Pelodiscus sinensis: one gene and its partner. The protein of the gene in region 1 interacts with the protein of each later gene in a pairwise test. Links are inferred from orthologs where the notes say so. Each region holds a gene or a part of one and is shown on either strand. Other genes may lie near its edges. The genes, in order: WAC and DYDC1.

Region 1 (9,009 bases):
GCCTCCTGGATACTGACAGCCCCCCGATAGACCTCCCGGATGGCAGTCTGCAGGAAGTGCAGCCAGGCACGCAGCAATGCATCCAAGAGAAGCACCAGAGTGCCTAGGGGCAGCTCTGGCTCCATATTGCAGAGTGCTGTGGTGTCCCGAGTGAGGGCAACCAGAGCATGCAGAGACAAAATACTTTGCTGTCCCTCAGTGAGGTAGACAAGCAAGCAGGGAAACCTGAGAACTGGCTGTCCCTTTAAGCACAGACCTCAGGCAGCAGCCCCACACAGTAAGTCCTGTCCTGGTGCCCTGCTAGAACTGGTTCCGGCCAGCCTTAAATGCACTCAGGGTGGACATGCTATTTCGAAATAGCAAAATGCTGTTTCAAAATGCATTTTATGCATAGACACTTTATTTCAAAATGAGCTATTTCAAAATAACACCGTAGTGTAGAGATACCCTAACAGAGCAGACATAAGGCCATACTCTGCCCTCCATCTGTGCTTCGGAACTGTCCACTAATTTCAGCTGAGTTTCAGTTAGCAGCATATGACCATTTAAATTGTATTCCCATTGTGTTGAGATATTGGGATAATAAATGTATTTGCTTGCATTTGGTAGCCAATCATTGGCTTTTAAAAAAAAAAAAATGTTATCAGCACAAGTATTTCAATTTTGTCTGTACTAGCTGATGTTGTACATAAATTGTAAAATTAAACTAAAGTTTTAATTGCTTAAGCATGGTAATAGGAAATACTGCTTATTGCATATGATATAGTTATTTTATTGACAAACTGCCTCTCACTCACTCCTTCCAAATGACATGGGAAATACAAGAGGTATGAAGCTGCCATTTGAGTTCTCTGTAACCAGAGCTTTCATGATACAAGTTCTTTTTCCACCTGAAATTCTTTATGTCTAAGTAAAACAACTACATGCCAAGCTAGGACAGAAGTCCTTGCTGTACTTATCTAGAGACTAAGAAAAATCTAAGGTTGTGATGTCAGTAACAAACATGACATAGTAATCAATACTCAGCAGGATCAGACAGGGTAAGCAGATCAAACATGTGGATGGATAGACAGAAGCTCAGACTCAGTCAAAAATATCTGCAGTAATTTGTGAAGTAAAATAAAAACAAGAATGCAGGATTTTACCTCATTAGAGTTACAGTACCAAACAATAGCAGAATCCCTAATAGTGGCTAGTTTTGTATTTTTCAAGAGACTAGCAGAAATGGTACTTGAACAAATTGTTTATTAGCTCAGCCATCCTATCCCCATGAGACTTTTTTTAAAAGCAGCACTGTACATAGGGGAATCAGGAGGATGCAAAAACTGAATATAGACTAATTAACTAGAGACAATGTGCAGTAACAAACCCTTTACTCTTACATCTGAGGGATTCATTGTTTGTGTTACCCTTACTTATCAGGCAGTGTATAACTGCAGTCTTTTAAATGTATAGAACCTGTATGAAAGATTTTACTGCCAGGCACATCTAAGAACAAACCTAGTGCTACAATATGTTACTGTGCAGGGCAATATAAAAGATTTAATACATACTAGAAATAGAAAACAGGATTAGAATTGAGATTTCTGCCATTTTCTCTTCTTTGCCCTTCTAAACTAGGTTTTTAATCACTTTCAAAAGAAAACTTCAAAACTAGAGAACCATCTTTAATATTATTTTCTTAATGTGCATTTAGAACTCTCCCACCCATATTCTTCAAAATTCTTTGGAGTCTATAATACATGAATAATAGACATTTTACACAAGTGAATCCAAAATAAAGTCTTCAGGTTGTTTTGTCTTTTGCCCTCAGAGAAGATGATCCCAGTAGACAGACAGCTTCTACAAAGTTAAGTAAAAAATTGTCACTGCAACAAGTTGTATGAAGATTCTACAGTGATAAGAACTATCACAATAAGTTAGGCCATGTATGGTCAAGATTTCTAAAGACTCAGAATTTCCCATTAGAATACCACTTGGTATAAAAGTGATGGAAGCTGTTTTCTCCCAGTATGCAAGTTTACAGTTGCCACACACTTTATAAGGAAATGGCCAACTGAAATTTTAGAAATTCAGTTTTGAGAGTTCTTTTTAACTAGTATTAAAAGGGGAAAAATACTTACTTTTAACATATATTGATGTAAATGACTAAGTGTTCATGTTCCATTTATTTTAGAAGGAGTGTAGGTGGGCCTTAAAGCAACACAAAAATGCATAGAGCCTCTGGATACCATCTTTATAAAATTAAATATTGAGTTTGAATTATGGGCAAATTTCAGATAGACAGCAGACCCTAAAAAAGAAGAATTTGTTAACAGATTTCTGTTTGGCTAGCAACCACTAAAAACAATTAATCATCATGATCTTGACTCAGCCAAAAGGAGCCCAAAGTATTTTGTCCATATTCAGCATTTACCTCATTTTATAGCATCCCTTTCTTCTTCCCAGGGCTCAGTGACAATGTTCCCCAGGTAAGAGAGAACTGGACTGAATTTCTTTCAGAAGTCACAAACAAGTCTTCTTGCCATTGCTAGAGGTGTGACTGAAGAGAGACAAAAGTGCTTTTTCTTTTCAGATTTAAGGAATAGTAATAAATCTCAATGAAACTCAGCAGTGAACATTCAGGGCTTGAATAGTACATCAAAAAATTATTTCCTTGACTAACAACTGTAAGGGCAAGTAAACATCATGCCAAACCTAGTGCAAAATCTGACCTCTATTTTCCTAAAATCTATTTACAGAGTGTATAATTTTTCATAGGTGTTGTAAAGATAGTTATAGGAATTTTTTTAGCAAAACTGCACCTTTATTTATCTTTATTGTACATTATTTTCCATGATGTTAAAATGTGCTAAAACATATAAAAAAATAAGGTAGAGTCCTTTCTCAGATAAATGCTCATCATAGTGTTCTGTGGCTAACCTTATTTCTGAGCAAGAGGCATTGTGATTGTGGTGAGTCCAAGCGTTTGGGTATTTCAGGACACATTGCTTTTCAGTTCTGCAGCTTTGTTTAAATTCCCCACTTCCTTCTTCAGGACATTTAGCAGCATTCTAGAACTATCCAAAATCTTCATATAAGCAGCTTCAGTTTCTGCAAGGATTTTATCAAGCTCGTTCCGTGAGGCTGTCTTTTGGGTCAAAGTTTCACAGACACACTCCAGTTGCTCATTCAGGATTTGGATTTCATGCTGGAGTTTATTTTTTTCCACTTCCGCTTCCTTGATCTGTTTGTTCAGTTCTTCTCTTTGCAGGCATAAGTCTTCCATGAATTTCACCAGCTCATTATTGTAACCCTGCAGAACCGCTCCCTGCTGAGTCATCCTCCAGGCTCCACCCTCTAAGTGGACTCTGCCACTGCTTTGAGTTTTCTCTCAGCAACACCCTTCAGCACTTTTATTTAAAAAAGAAAAACAAAATAAAAACGCTTGTAGCTGGGCTTTTGTGAGCAACCCTATGCTAACAAACCAGTACAAACATAGCCATGATAGAACACTCTGCTTAAAAGAAAAAACACATCATCTCCTCAGACTTAAGTTTTACAGCCCCAAAGATACAATTTCTGTGGTGTTCCCAGGCTTTTCCAATCTAGAGAATAAATGACTAGGGCCAGAATTCAAGGTCCCAGAATTTCCATTTATTTGCTGAGTGCTTAAATGAGTGTCTTTTAATAATTATTGGATGTTTACATTAAATGAAGTCCAACCCTTCATTACAACAAAACTATCACAAACCAGTTTTCATTGTAGCTGCCTATTTATCAGACATGCATGACTTTCTTGGAAAAAAACCTAACTCCTTTTGGGCTCAAAATTTCAGTGTTTGATCACTGATATAAAACTACTCTACAAATATGGTCTTTTCTATTGAGAATAGAAATGTAGGGATTGTTACTAGAAATACTCAAAGTCAAGGATAAAGAAAGGTATTTTCTCCATATGATACTTAAGCATAAGTACCATCTCCACTCTCAGTACCTCCCAGGTCTGCCTATAGTGAATCAATTCAGTACTCTATTTTCAAATGCATATATGAGCAGGGCTTAGAAGGAGATTTAGCATTTCGATTAGAGAAGCATGTTTTGTGAACTTGCCCGCCTCTGGAGAGCTGCTTTTCTTCGCTCTCCTCAGGACACAGGGAGCAGTTTGGATAAGAGCACTCTGCAGTGAAGGATGCACATTGTCTACACGGAAGAGCTTGGTAGGGCCACCGAGACTGGAGCTGGTGCGAGTGCCAGGGATACCCCAACATTCACTGCTCTCTACCCTCTTGCTACTAAGTGTAGGCCAAAAAGCAAAACAAAAAACCCACCACCAAACACAACTGGAGACGCTAGAGAGAAAAAAAAACCTGCCGGAGACGCTAGAAACAGCTCTGAGAGCTACAAAAAGCCTGAGAGGAAACCCCACAGGAGCGGCTCTTCTTATTGCTACCCAACTCCCACAGCAACTATGGCGGTGATAACTAAGGCACATGCCTAACACAGATAGGAACAAAGCTCCGGCTTTCGAGTCTTAGGACTTACACATCCACTGGGGCTGCTACGAGACAAACAAGCACCGCAAAGGGCAGCGCATGGGACACACTCACAACCCAAGCAGCCAGCTGCGAGCCTCCCACAGGGTCGTTTTAACCTCTTCTCTGCCGCGCTTTCTCTCCGAACACAGGACGTATATAAGCTGCTTCCTAGGCTTGAGGCGGACCCTTTCCAGCCTCCCTTTTCTCAATCCGGCTTGGAGAAGCCCCTCTCTCTTGCTATTGCCCCTGCTGTGTCCGACCTGGCCAAAGAGCCTCCGCCGGCAGCCGGCAGAGCTACTAACTGGTAAGCAGCGCTCTCACCCCAGGCTGTCGGTAGCAGCGCGGAGCACGCCTCTCAAGAGCTTGCCATGCCCCGCAAGAGGAGAGGGGCTCTTAACCAATGAGCCAGCCCGGCGCTCCGACCAGCTGCTTTCCCCGAGCGCTCCAACCGGCAGTGGTCGCAGAGCTGGGGGGAGGGGGGGTGAAGGGTCACGGAAAACCCCGAAACTTTCCGAATACAGAGGAACGTTCTACGGCGATAGCCGATGTTTTCCCGGGGCTGGTTGCGGACTAGCGGAGGGCTGGTGGCGGAAAGAGCCGATGTTGCCCGAAGGGGGAAGATTAAGGGCGTTGGACTTGGCGAAAAGAGCCGATGTTTCCCGAAGGCACGGCCGCCCTAGAGCAGAGGGGACTGAGTGGGAGGAGTGTGCCGAAAACAGCCGAAAACACCCGACGTGAACCGAACACGGCGTCGCCCGAGTTTCCCGGATGTAGTTGGAGGAGCGGCGGCGGCTGTGGGCGCAGCGGGGGGAGGAGGCAGCGGCAGCGGAGTCTGAGCTCCTCAGTGTCTCAGAGTGTGCGGGGCCGAGCTGTGGCGTGTCCCCTTCCGCTGTGCGGAGCGGAGATGGGCCCGTGAGCGCTGCTCCCAGCTGAGCTGCCTGAGCCGCCCCCTCCCTCCCTCCCCTTCCCTGTCCCGGTCGGTGGTGAGGCGGAGCGCTGCCTCCCCCTCCTCCCCCCTCGGCGCCTGTGGCCCGGCCGCGGCCGTCCCCTCCTGGTCCCCTCACATTCACACACACAGGCCGGGCATTGATGGTAATGTATGCGAGGAAACAGCAGAGACTCAGTGATGGGTAAATCCCCCTCCTTCCTCCCCGCCACCCGCGGGGGGCTCCCCCAGACCCTCCGCCATGTTTGTGGTACCCCTCCCCCTCGGCGGCCGGTAACGGTTGTTCGCTAACGTCTCTTTCTCTCTCTCTTCCAGCTGTCACGACCGCAGGGGGGACTCCCAGCCCTACCAGGTACTTGCAGCGCCGGCCGCTAGGCCTAGGAGGAGGAGCGGGGGAGAGAGCGGAGGGGGGAGCTACTCCAGCGCAGGCTTCGTCCGCCGACACAGGCCGCGGTGCAGCCACTTCCCTGTCTCCTCCCCTCACAAGCCCCTTAGTCCTGGGGAGGAGGGCGCTTACATGTGAGGGGCGCGAGGTCCCAGTTACCTCTGCGCCGCCCGGGACAGAGGCAGAGAAGTGAGGCGAGGCCTAGCGCGGTCTTGTGTAGAGTTCGGCCTTCAGTGCCGGGAGGGGGGGGGGCGGGAGAATGAGTCAGTATCCAATTAGTGAAAAATAGATAGTAAAATTTGTTCTCTAAAGGCCCCTTTGGAAAGCACCTCCTGCTCCCCAAATCCCTGCTTGGGACTGTGACCTGAGCAGGGCACCCTATAGGCACCAGATTACTGGGGCTACAGGCTGCACTCAGAAATCTGCATCAAAATCCTTGTGCCAACTAAGAAAGTACTTTGAGAGGCATAATGTACTCCCTCTCCTTGTGCACATGGAAACCCAGTTCTTGGGGAGCAGTGGGTATTGCACTGTGTATTTTGAGGACACTTATCACCATGAGTAGTATAGTGGAGTATTGTGCTCTCTTGAGTGTACACATTTGAGGGGCTGTTATGAAATTTCTAGGCATGTGGCAGGCTGCTTGTGAAACAGTGTGACAACTGAAAGTTGTCAGTGACAGTTCACCTAAATGTAAACATTCCCCCATCCTGAAGTTTGCATTATGAAAGCAAATGGGTGAAAGATGTTGATCATGCTGCTTCCAATGTGTACATTTTCCAGAATGAACACAAAGTAAGCTTCCCGCTACACCCCGCACACCTGCTTATTCAGTCTCATTTTAAATACTATCTTAGTTCTTGTGCTCAAATAAAGTTTGTTATGGAAATTCAAGGTGGTGGGTGAGCTTAGGTGTCTTGATGAAATTTGTAGTGTGTACACTGTGGTTCAAGCAGAATTTGTAATCTGTTTTTATTCAGTTACTTATTAAACACCTGAATATTTTGTCCTCCCCAAAATGAAGAAAGCAGTCTGTGTAGTGCTGAATGTATGTAACACAAGATGAATAAGAATTCAAGGAATTGCAGTTTAATTCTAATACCCTATTATAGGAGATATTCCACACTGAAACCACAGTAGGAAAATTAGGTAAAAAAGCTAAATTAGAATTTTTTACTTTATATATATAATTAACATAGGAAAGCCTTATTCTACTTGTGTTCCTAAAGTGCTAATATGTGGCTTAAATATTCACTGAAGTGAAAATTTTTACTTATCTTGAAAAATTAGATTTTCTGTTAGTTGGAAGTGATGTTAACTGCTACAAAAATTAAATTAATTTAAAATGTATTTTCTTGCAGACTCTTAAATACTCATCAAAGAGTCACCCCAGTGGTGGTGATCACCGTCATGACAAGATGCGAGACACCGCAGATCCTTCACCACCAAATAAAATGTTGCGACGGTCTGATAGCCCTGAAAACAAATATAGTGACAGCACAGGGCACAGTAAAGCAAAAAGTGTGCATACTCACAGAGTTAGAGAGAGGGATGGAGGTGAGTTGTTTCTAATCATTTTTATTTAAGCAGTAATCTGATTTAAATTTTATTGAAATAATAAGTAAAACAGTTACAAGTGACATGTCTTACACAATGGTGAGAAGACTGTGCACTGGTACTCAGTTCCACCAGAGGTCATTGCCTTGAGTCTTTTATATTAAACTGATTCTTTTTTTCTTCCAAAAAATAGTAGATGTCAACAAAGACACCAAGAGATTAAAGCAATTAATTTTTTTTGGTATTGGTGCATTTTTAAGGTGACTTCTAAAGGTGCTGGAAAGAGTAGTTTATGAGAACATCTTAATTGGATTACATTTTAGATGTTTCCATAAGCAAAATACATTTTTATTCTTCCATTGGTTTTGAAGCATCAGAGTTCCAGCTGCTGATAGTGTGTCATCTGTTCAATTATTTAATTATTCATAATGTGTTCGTGCATAAGGAAATGTCCACAGATTAACTTGGATTAATATTTTTGATGTGCTGTTCATCTAAATGTTACATTTCCAAATATGATATATGCCTGATAAGCTTCTGTTCTGCAGTGCCATTTAATTTCTAGTTCTAGTTACTTGCTCTCGAAGGCCCTGATCCTTCAAACACTTAACACTTTTATTTTCCTTAACTTTTTACTGCTCTGAGGAGTTCAACTGATTTCCATGAAACTTACCATAGGAAAAGTAAGCACATGTGTAAATGTTTGAAGGGTCATTACAGAAGCATTTGGAAGGGAAGGAGTGGGAAGCTGAGTATTGAATACATTTTCTCTGTAAAATAGGAGAAGTAAATTGAAGTTTTCAAGTCCACCTGAACTGAATGGTTGGTGATGCAGGGTTTTATTGCATACAGTGGTGTTGGGGGATAATGTAGTGGATAATGTAGTGTAGATATTGGAATATCTAGAGGCAACAGAAGGTTACTTCTCCATTTCCTCCTCTTTCCCCTTTCCTTCATAGAGTGAAAAATTCAGTGTATTTTGATAATGGTGACATGTTCAGAGTGGTTTTAGTAGGTGTAACAAGTAGTCTTAAATGTTTGCATAAGTGAATGCAAGCCCTTTTAAATAAAGTTTAAATGACAAAAAGTGAAATAGATTGAAGTGATTGTTACACTCTAAGTATTCTTTACATAGTTAGAAATCATGTCTTCCTTACATTTCATAAACATAATATAATTGTTTCACTCAATGTTAAATTGTCAGTAACAGAAATTGTATAGAACAAATGGGCAGAGCCTACTTACGCTCTGGAATAGTTACACAAAAGTTTAAACTGCATGCATTTTAATTAATGATACCATTAAGAAGAATGGCATACTCATACTATTTTTATGAATTGGAATGAGCTGTTTGGACACAACTGGAACTTCTTGACTAGGTGTTGATATATCTATGTCCATAATGCCCAGTACATATAAAGGGCTACCTGATTTTAAACACAGGTTAGTGTGTTCTATAGTTGCACTAAACTATACTGTTGATTGTTCCAGTATGTGACTAACTGTATCCATGCTGAAGTAGTTACCTCAGTACTCCCCCTGTATCTCCAATTTCAGGGTTACAGAAAACTTACATAACATAATTTGTTGAAATGCACAGATAT
Region 2 (8,547 bases), on another chromosome or scaffold:
GTCACAAATTATCATGTAAACTCTTATCTTTGTCACAGTTTGCCTTGTAAGACTACTCACTCCACATTCTCATGTGCCTTTGTTGTGTAAAACTTACTTCTAGCACTCCTGGTGTGAACAGAAGTCTCAGAGTACTTCTGCAGAGACTTTGATATGTTAAGGAAAACAATCAACAACTGAACTGTCTAAGCATTCTGTATAAAGGATCAAAAAACCTGTAACTCAGGGCTGACTGCTACTGCTCTGCTGCCAGCCTGCATGCATGCATAATAAAGTTTTCCCTTCTAGATTTCTCTCCTGCCTCACTGATTTGACTTCCAGCCTCGGACCCTTCTGGGGGCTCTGTACCCCAGGGGAACGAGATTTCCCCCTCAGTAGCAACGCTAGTTCTCTTAGGGTATGTCTACACTACCACCCTAGTTCGAACTAGGGTTGTAATGTAGGCAACCCGAGTTGCAAATGAAGCCCGGGATTTGAATTTCCCGGGCTTCATTTGCATATTGCCAGGCGCCGCCCTTTTTAAATGTCCGCTAGTGCGGACTCCGTGCCCTGCAGCTACACGCGGCACAGACTAGGTAGTTCGGATTAGGCTTGCTCGTTCCACGAGGAGTAATGGTAGTTCGGAATAGGAAGCCTAATCCGAACTACCTAGTCCGTGCCGCGTGTAGCTGCGGGGCACGGCGTCCGCACTAGCGGACATTTAAAAATGGCGGCGCCCGGCAATATGCAAATGAAGCCCGGGAAATTCAAATCCCGGGCTTCATTTGCAACTCTGGTTGCCTACATTACAACCCTAGTTCGAACTAGGGTGGTAGTGTAGACATACCCTTAGCTGGGAATAATCCCTCTGGCTGGGTTTTAAATTATACTGGTTTTGTTCTTCAAGCATGTGTTTCTGCTTTTCTTCATCCAGGGACTAAAAAACATTTATTTGTCTGAGGCTACATCTACACTGGCATGATCTTGCGCAAGAACCCTTTTGCGGAAGAGTTCTTGTGCAAAAACTCTTCTAGAAGAGAGCGTCTACACTGGCATGTGCCTTTGCGCAAGAGATGTGCTTTTGCGCAAGAGCGTCCATGCCAGTGTAGACGCTCTCTTGCACAAGAAAGCTCTGATGGCCATTTTAAACATAGGGCTTTCTTGCACAAGAAATTCATATTGCCTGTCTACACTGGCCTCTTGCACAAGAACAGTTGTGCAAGAGGGCTTATTCCTGAGCGGGAGCATCAGAGTTCTTGTGCAAGAAGCACTGATTTCATACATTAGAACGTCAGTGTACTTGCGCAAGAACTCGCAGCCAGTGTAGATAGGCAGCAAGTTTTTGCACAAAAGCGGCCGCTTTTGCACGAAATCACGCCAATGTAGACACAGCATAAGAGTACTGTTCTACCTGGTAGCATTGGTTTGGGGAATACAAGCTTGAAGACCAAACCTTCTTTCAAAGGTTTCCTTGAACAGAGTACTTGTGTGAAGAAGGCTGCAGATTTTTGACACTTTTGCCTGGGCACCATATAACTTCGCCTCCTTGAGACCATGGTCAGTGAGTTGCAGAGTATAAGCAAAGCAACTGTGTCTCTTAATTCGAGGTCCACTTGAGTTTACATGATGGATGACCGATGTAACGACTTCTGGGTTTAAGTCTTCACATAATTCTTCATTTTCCAAAGTGTCATCTTGCATATCAATTTGCTGCTCTGATTCATGGTTGTTAAATGCTATGATGAATGCTTTACGCATGTCCGCAGCATTGTCTGTTATAACATATCTAATTTTATCCTTTATTTTATAAGAATCACATATGTTCTCAAACACTTCTGCAATGTTCTCACCAGTATGCTGGCCAAGGAACCTTTCACATGACAACAATTTGTCACGAGCGCGTACCTTATTATCATGTGGGCTGTTACTCCCCAAAAGCCTCTCATTCTTCTATCTGACCAGATGTCGAGCGTCAGTGCAATTGTGTCCACCTCAGTAAGAAGTGCCAACACATCAGCTTTCACATTATGGTACAAATTGTCCAGTTATGTCATAACCAAAGACCGACTTATTTCTTGTGACTGGGGATCCAACACATGACAAAATCGCCTGAACTGTGGTTTTTCTGCTATTGAAAGTGGTAGTAAGCAACCAATTATCAGTTCTATAACCAAAGAACTGACTATTCTTCTTTGTTTAGGATGATTTATTCCATAAACACCTTGATTATCATGCTTTATAAATGAAATCCGATATTTTACACGGTGAGGCGGGATCAATTGTGGTTTGTCGCAGATATTTTTCGTACTCACTGTGCTTTCGCGGATGGGTTTTTATAAGGCGCAAAAAATTGGAAGTTGTTGCAATGCCATCAGTGATTACAACCCCACATAATTTGCACTTCGCTGATCGTGTTTTCTCTGGATTTATTGATTTGACCGAAAAAAACAAAGTTTAGGACATTTTGATTTTTCTTCCTCATTCTTCACAGACGGATATTAACTTTTTGATTATTTTAATTTTGTTTGTTCACTATGAAATTTCAAAAATGGCATATTAATGTAAAATTTCATAAACAAACACACAATCAATAAAATTTTCACAAATCCCAAGCCAATAAACTATTTTCGCATTGTTGTTGTCGTAGCTCTACGTTAAAGCCAGAAATTGCGCCTAGATGCGTTCAAAACAATGAAAAAAAATGAAACACATTCACCATGTATTGCATCGTTTTGAAAGAAAAGTAACCCACAACAATGTAGCATACTGTTGACAAGTAAATGGGATATTTTTATCAATTCATTTTTTACAACTCTGAAATCTCGCATCTTCATGAATATAATAATTGTTTACGTCATTGAAATACTTATGGTTGCCAGGTGTCCGGTATTTTCTGATTTTTCCGGCTGCGCACCGGACAGAAGCCTGCGTGGGCGGGAGGAGCAGCTGGAAGGCGGGGCCATGATCGGCGCTAGGAGCCTGTGACTGCGCAGAAGCCTGGTGGGGGTGGGAAGAGTGGCTGGGACTCTTAGCTACTTCCCCCACCCCCACCAGGCTTCTGATGCGCCAAGAGCAGCGATCGCGGCCCCGCCTCCCAGCCTGGGAATCCCAGCTGGGAGGTGAGGATGCGTTGGACGCTCTGGGCGCATCAGAACAGCGGCATTTTCGGACATTTTTTTCACCAAGTCGCTTCAACAAAATTAGCAAGTTAAGTCACAAACCATGAACCTTAGTCGAGTCTCAAGTCAAGTCATCTAGGTGACTTAAGTCGGACTCGAGTTCAAGTCGTGAGACTCGAGTCGACAACTCTGGAACACTTCAATCTTCCTGGACACACAATTGCAGATCTAAAAGTAGCCATCCTGCAGCAAAAAAACTTCAGGACCAGACTTCAAAGAGAAACTGCTGAGCTACAAGTCGACACTTGCCAACAAGGACTTAACAAGAATTTGAACTATCTCACCCATTACCAAGACAGTTTCCCCAATTATCACCTGTAATACCATTAACTCACAAACATCCCACTCTCCCTACCTTTAATATCATCAATTCACAGACACTTACCTTCCTTCCTCCCCCTCCCCCCCCCTCCGCATCCCCCTTCTGTTCTGCAATGTGATTTGTCCTTTTCATATTTGTTCATTTTTTTAATTGCATCCTTTGGTATATATGGTTGTGACTACTTTCTTCCACTATTTGATCTGAGGAAGTGGGTCTGGCCCACGAAAGCTCATCATCTAATAAACCATCTTGTTAGTCTTTAAAGTGCTACATTGTCCTGCATTTTGCTTCAACTACCCCAGACTAACAGGGCTACATTTCTATCAGTATTCTGCTGAGCTACAGTTCATCTTTAAGTTTGACACAATCAGCTCTGGATTAAACAAAGACTGTGAATGGCTCGCTAACTACAAAAGCAGCTTCTGCTCTCTTGGAATTCACACCTCCAGATCAGCTGCTAGAAGTGGGCCTCATCCTCCTTGATTGGATCCACCTCGTCATCTCCAGCCTGATCCTGGCCTGCATATTTATTCCTGCCTCTGGAAATTTCCACTTCATGCATCTGACGAAGTGGGTCTTTGCCCACGCTTATGCTCCTACACTTCAGTTAGTCTATAAGGTGCCACAGGACTCCTCGTCGCTTTTGCAGATTCAGACTAACACGGCTACCCCTCTGATACTTGACAACTCTGGTGTCTACCTCAACTGCGTAGCTTATTTCCAAATAGCTTATTTCAAAATAGGGAGCATCTACACAGCACTTATTTAAAAAATAGAGCACTCTTCCTCCGAGTTCCCTTATTCCTCCTCCAACGAGGGTCAGCGTAGTCCTCCAGCTTGACAGTATTTTGACACTATTTTGAAATACCTGCCTGCTACGTAGACACGGACTCAGTTATTAGGAAATAGTGTTGCCGTGTAGACGTACCCTCAGTCTGGCATTCTGGCGCTCCAACAAGGAATGCAAGATTCTGTTTAACCTGTTAACCCGTTACCTGCGTGTGCCAGTTAACCAGTTACCGGCGTGCGCGGGGCGCTGGTTAACCAGTTACCTGCACCCAGTAAGGGTGGTGCTTACCAGGTAACTGGTTACCCGTTTACATCCCTGCCCCAGCTGTCCAGTTGCTGGGTTCTTGGGCCCGCGCCATCAACAGATCGAGGCATTCGCCCTCCACGCGGGGGGCGCTGGCCCGACGCTCACGTTACGCGGGTGGAAGCGGCAGCGGTTTGTCTCGTGTGACGATCGCTCGCCCCCTGGCGCACGGGTCAGGCCTATGTCCCCGGGCTGGCAGGGCGGGGCTGCGCTTCGAGACCCCAGGCGCGAGCTGCCCTCAGGCAGCCCGGGGGGTTAACGCTGCCACCTTACTCACGTGACAGCCCCCAGCGCCAGCTCCGCCACCAACCCTCCCGCCCGGGCCACGCGGACGGCTGCCTAGCGACGGGACGCTCCCGGGCTCGCGCCTAGAGGAGGGCGTGCTGGTTGAGGCTGCGCGAAGCGTCGGAGCAAAGGTCGGCGCGTCCCCCCCCCGCCCTCCGACGGTTGAGCCCCCCCCCCGTGGGCGCGCGCCGCGGACCGTTGGGCGTCGTGGCGGTTCGCGGGCCTGAGCTGCGCTGCTGCTCGGCCACCCCGTAGGGCTCCCAGGCGGCAGCGGGGAAGCGCCGGGGCTCGGGCCGCGTCTCTCCCGGCTGGGCTTCGCCCCAGGGAGCCTCCGCTCGGTGTGGTGAAGGGCGGCTCTGCCCTCTCGGCGAGGCCCACCGGGAGCCGTGCCGGCCGTAGTCCCTGACCGCGTCTCCCAGCGGCCGCCCCTCACCCCCACGGGGGTCTTCGTGTCCGCAGCAAAGCTTAGGCACCCGGGGCCCAGCTGCCGCAGACGGGGCTGGCCGCGCCCCCACAGGCTGGGAGCCAGCCCCAGTGCGGGGCTGGGGGCTGCTCCAGCCCGGATTTCGCGCCAGGCGTTTAACCGGGCGAGCCCGGAGGTTTAACGTTTAACCGGCTGGCGGGCGGGCTGGGATTTCGCATCCGAGTGTGCATCCCTTTGGCAATCTTAGCCATGTCTGCAGCAGCTGGAGAGGGATGCTCCCTGCGGTGGGGGCAGAGAGGCCTGGGCTCCAGGAGGGGAGGAGGAATAAGCTGGGCCAAATGGTCAGAGCCGTCTCTGGAGCCTGCAACTATTTCCAGTCGTCTGTGGGGGCCTATTCGAAACCCCAGGATGTTCAAGCTGGATAGCACCAGCTCTGTTGGCTGCTTGTCAAGAGTCTGACTTGTCACTTGGGAGTGCTGCTACATACATTGCAAATCAGAATACACACTCAGCCAATGCTCTCTTTAATGTTTTCCATCCATGTGCAGAATAAATTTTATGTGCACAAAGGCATGTGCAGATATGCAGGAACAGCAGAAAAAAACATGCTGCCAGCTATAGGTAGTCTGCCAATCAGATGGGTGGCATTTGAATCTTTGCTGAGCGGCGGGGGTGGGAGGGTGGCGGCATCTGAACACTTAGCTTACAGCAGAGGTGGGGAACCTTTTTGGCTCAGGGGTTGCTGACCCACAGAAAAATCAGTCGGGGTCTGTACACAAGTGAGAAGCAGTATAGTAAGAAGTAGTATAAAAGGTTCTGATCATGCAAATGCTTGCACAGAATACATAAACAAAAAGTACATTCTGAGTCAAGATATTTTTAGTCTCATGTATGGTAGGGGTGAGACATATGCCCATATATATAGCCCTTTATGACATTTATAGATATCTCATTCCTAACTGTTCTTTTGTTGTAGAAATGGTTTAAACAAGAAAATCAAGCATCCCAAAATCAAAAGTGAAAAAACCATGCAAAGAATGTAAATATATTTGAAGAGTTGGCTGAGGAATCCTTTGAGGTGAGTGGAAAGTATAGAACCTTCAGGAGGTAAGTGGGTTCAGATGTGCATTTTGTGGAGGTGCATTGTGACAAAACACTGGTATATTGCCAGTGTGCCAGAAAGTATGGTCTGAATTTAAGAGACCATAGCAAAGGGGTATCTGTAAGAGATCAAAAGGAAGGAAAAGCTTATGATTTTTCTGATCCCACTTGTGTCAGGAACCTAGTTCTTGCTTCATGTGCGTTACTTGCCTTTAGATAAGATCTGTTTTTTTAAAATTGATCACACACAGAAATGATTTAAATTCTATGTAGCTTCTAGATTCCTTTTGAATGAGCATTTAATTCAGTGAAGTTGTGTGTAATTAAAGACAGGAAATAGCTAATTGAGACTGTTCATTAGAACTAATAGAATAGAGCACTATAAGGAACACTGTAGTGATCATGTACTATTGTAACTAGAGATAAGTGAATATTTACTGAAGTTAAACTGTGTTAAGCAACTGTAGCTTGAACATCCCTGGTTCAGCACCTTCAGGACCTGACTGGTGCCGGACCAGGAGATGTCAATTGCAGACCCTCTGCTGCCACAGTCTGTTGGGTTCTTTTATGATGGCAGCAGAGGGGCCAGCATGGAGGGAGTGGGAATGGGGAGTGCTTGGTAGAAGAGTCAGGGAGAGTGTGGTGCCTGTGGCCAGCATCGGATTCCTGCAGCTGCTGGTCTGCGCTCCTGGCCCCTGTGTGCCTGCACCTCTGGCCATGGGGCACCACACCCATCCTGTACCTTTCCCTGAGTGCCCCCCATCTCCACACCTTCCTTTTCATCTCTGAGCTTAAACACTGCAAGTGGGCTATTTGTGGCACTCTGCAAGCTCTGAGAGGAAGGGAGAGGAGTTGCTGAGTGCAGGGCCTCCGGCTGTTCCCCGTGAGTGCTCCGATCCCGGACCACTCATGGATGCTGGATTACAGATGTTGCTGGATGAGGGAAATCCGGTTTATAGAGGCTTAACCTATTCTGCTTCATGGAAATTATATTGTGAAATAAATGGAGCAGAATTATATTCTATGTTTTGGTTATGTATTAAGGGATGTCAGTGGTTAACTGGTGGCAGCTGGAGCAGCCCTCAGGAATCTGCTCCAACTCAGCCGGAGCAGGCTCTGACCGCAGCGAGGAAACCGCTTCCCCCGCCCACCCCATTTAATTGGTTTACCGGCTAAACTTAATATTTAACTAATTAAACAAGATTTTGCATCCCTATTGCATACACAAAATATTTTACAGGCAGTCCCCGACTTACGCGGATCCGACTTATGTCGGATCCGCACTTACGAACGGGGCTTTCTCGCCCCGGAGGTCGAGGTGGCGGATTGCTACCTGTGAGCTCCGGGGCGAGAAAGCCCCGTTCGTAAGCTGCTCCGGTGCCCCTGGTCTGCTGGAGACCGTCTCCAGCAGACCAGGGGCACCGGGCGGGTTCCCGCGCTTCTGAGGCTTTGTCAGAGCAAAGCCTCAGAAGCGCGGGAACCCGCCGCTGCTGCGGCTTCAGTCCCGGTGCCTGTGGTCTGCTGGGGGGGGGGGGGGACTTACATACAGATTCAACTTAAGAACCCCAAGCTTCCCCAAGTCAGCTGCTGCTGAAACTGATCAGCTCTGATTCTAGGAAGCCTGGGGCAGAGCAACTCTGCCTCGGGCTTCCTGTAGTCAGCGCTGGTCAGTTTCAGCAGCGGCTGACTTGGGGACGCCTGGGGCAGAGCAGCTGGGGTGCTGCTGGGTTGCTCCAGTAGCACCGCTCCTCGGTGCTACTGGACCAACCCAGCAGCACTCCAGCTGCTCTGCCCCAGGCGTCCTGATTCAGCCACTGATGAAACTGACCAGCAGCGGCTGAATCAGGACCTGGGGCAGAGCAGCTGGGGTGCTACCGGGTTGGTCCAGTAGTGCCCAGAGCGGCGCTGCAGGACCAATCGGCAGCGCCCCAGCTGCTCTGCTCCAGGGTCCAAACAAAAGCCTGGTCTGCTGGGGGGGGCCACTAGCCGCATCCCCCCCCCCCCAGCAGACCAGGGACACCGGGAGCAGAGCCGCAGCGGCAGCGGGGTGCCGTGCCTCTGAGGCTTTGCTCTGGCAAAGCCTCAGAGGTGCGGGACCCCCCTGCGGCTGCCGCTTCAGTCCCGGTGCCTGCGGTCTGCTGGGGACGGTCCCCAGCAGACCACA

What was found.
Region 2: the proteins of WAC (region 1) and DYDC1 interact in binary tests that used the Homo sapiens proteins (3 or more experiments, as listed by UniProt). The two-hybrid records come from large-scale screens. The link is inferred for Pelodiscus sinensis from reciprocal best matches to the Homo sapiens genes WAC and DYDC1.

What each region holds. Positions count from the first base shown.
Region 1 is NC_134712.1:227,347,569-227,356,577, forward strand, and holds the start of WAC (WW domain-containing adapter protein with coiled-coil), read left to right. Parts: upstream 1-5,228; 5' UTR 5,229-5,606; coding exon 5,607-5,647; intron 5,648-5,778; coding exon 5,779-5,815; intron 5,816-7,209; coding exon 7,210-7,405; intron 7,406-9,009.
Region 2 is NC_134718.1:14,157,588-14,166,134, reverse strand, and holds the start of DYDC1 (DPY30 domain-containing protein 1), read left to right. Parts: upstream 1-4,850; 5' UTR 4,851-4,989; intron 4,990-5,004; exon of another isoform or gene 5,005-5,196; intron 5,197-6,258; 5' UTR 6,259-6,360; intron 6,361-6,452; exon of another isoform or gene 6,453-6,580; intron 6,581-8,547. UniProt on the Homo sapiens protein: Functions as part of axonemal radial spoke complexes that play an important part in the motility of sperm and cilia. Plays a crucial role during acrosome biogenesis.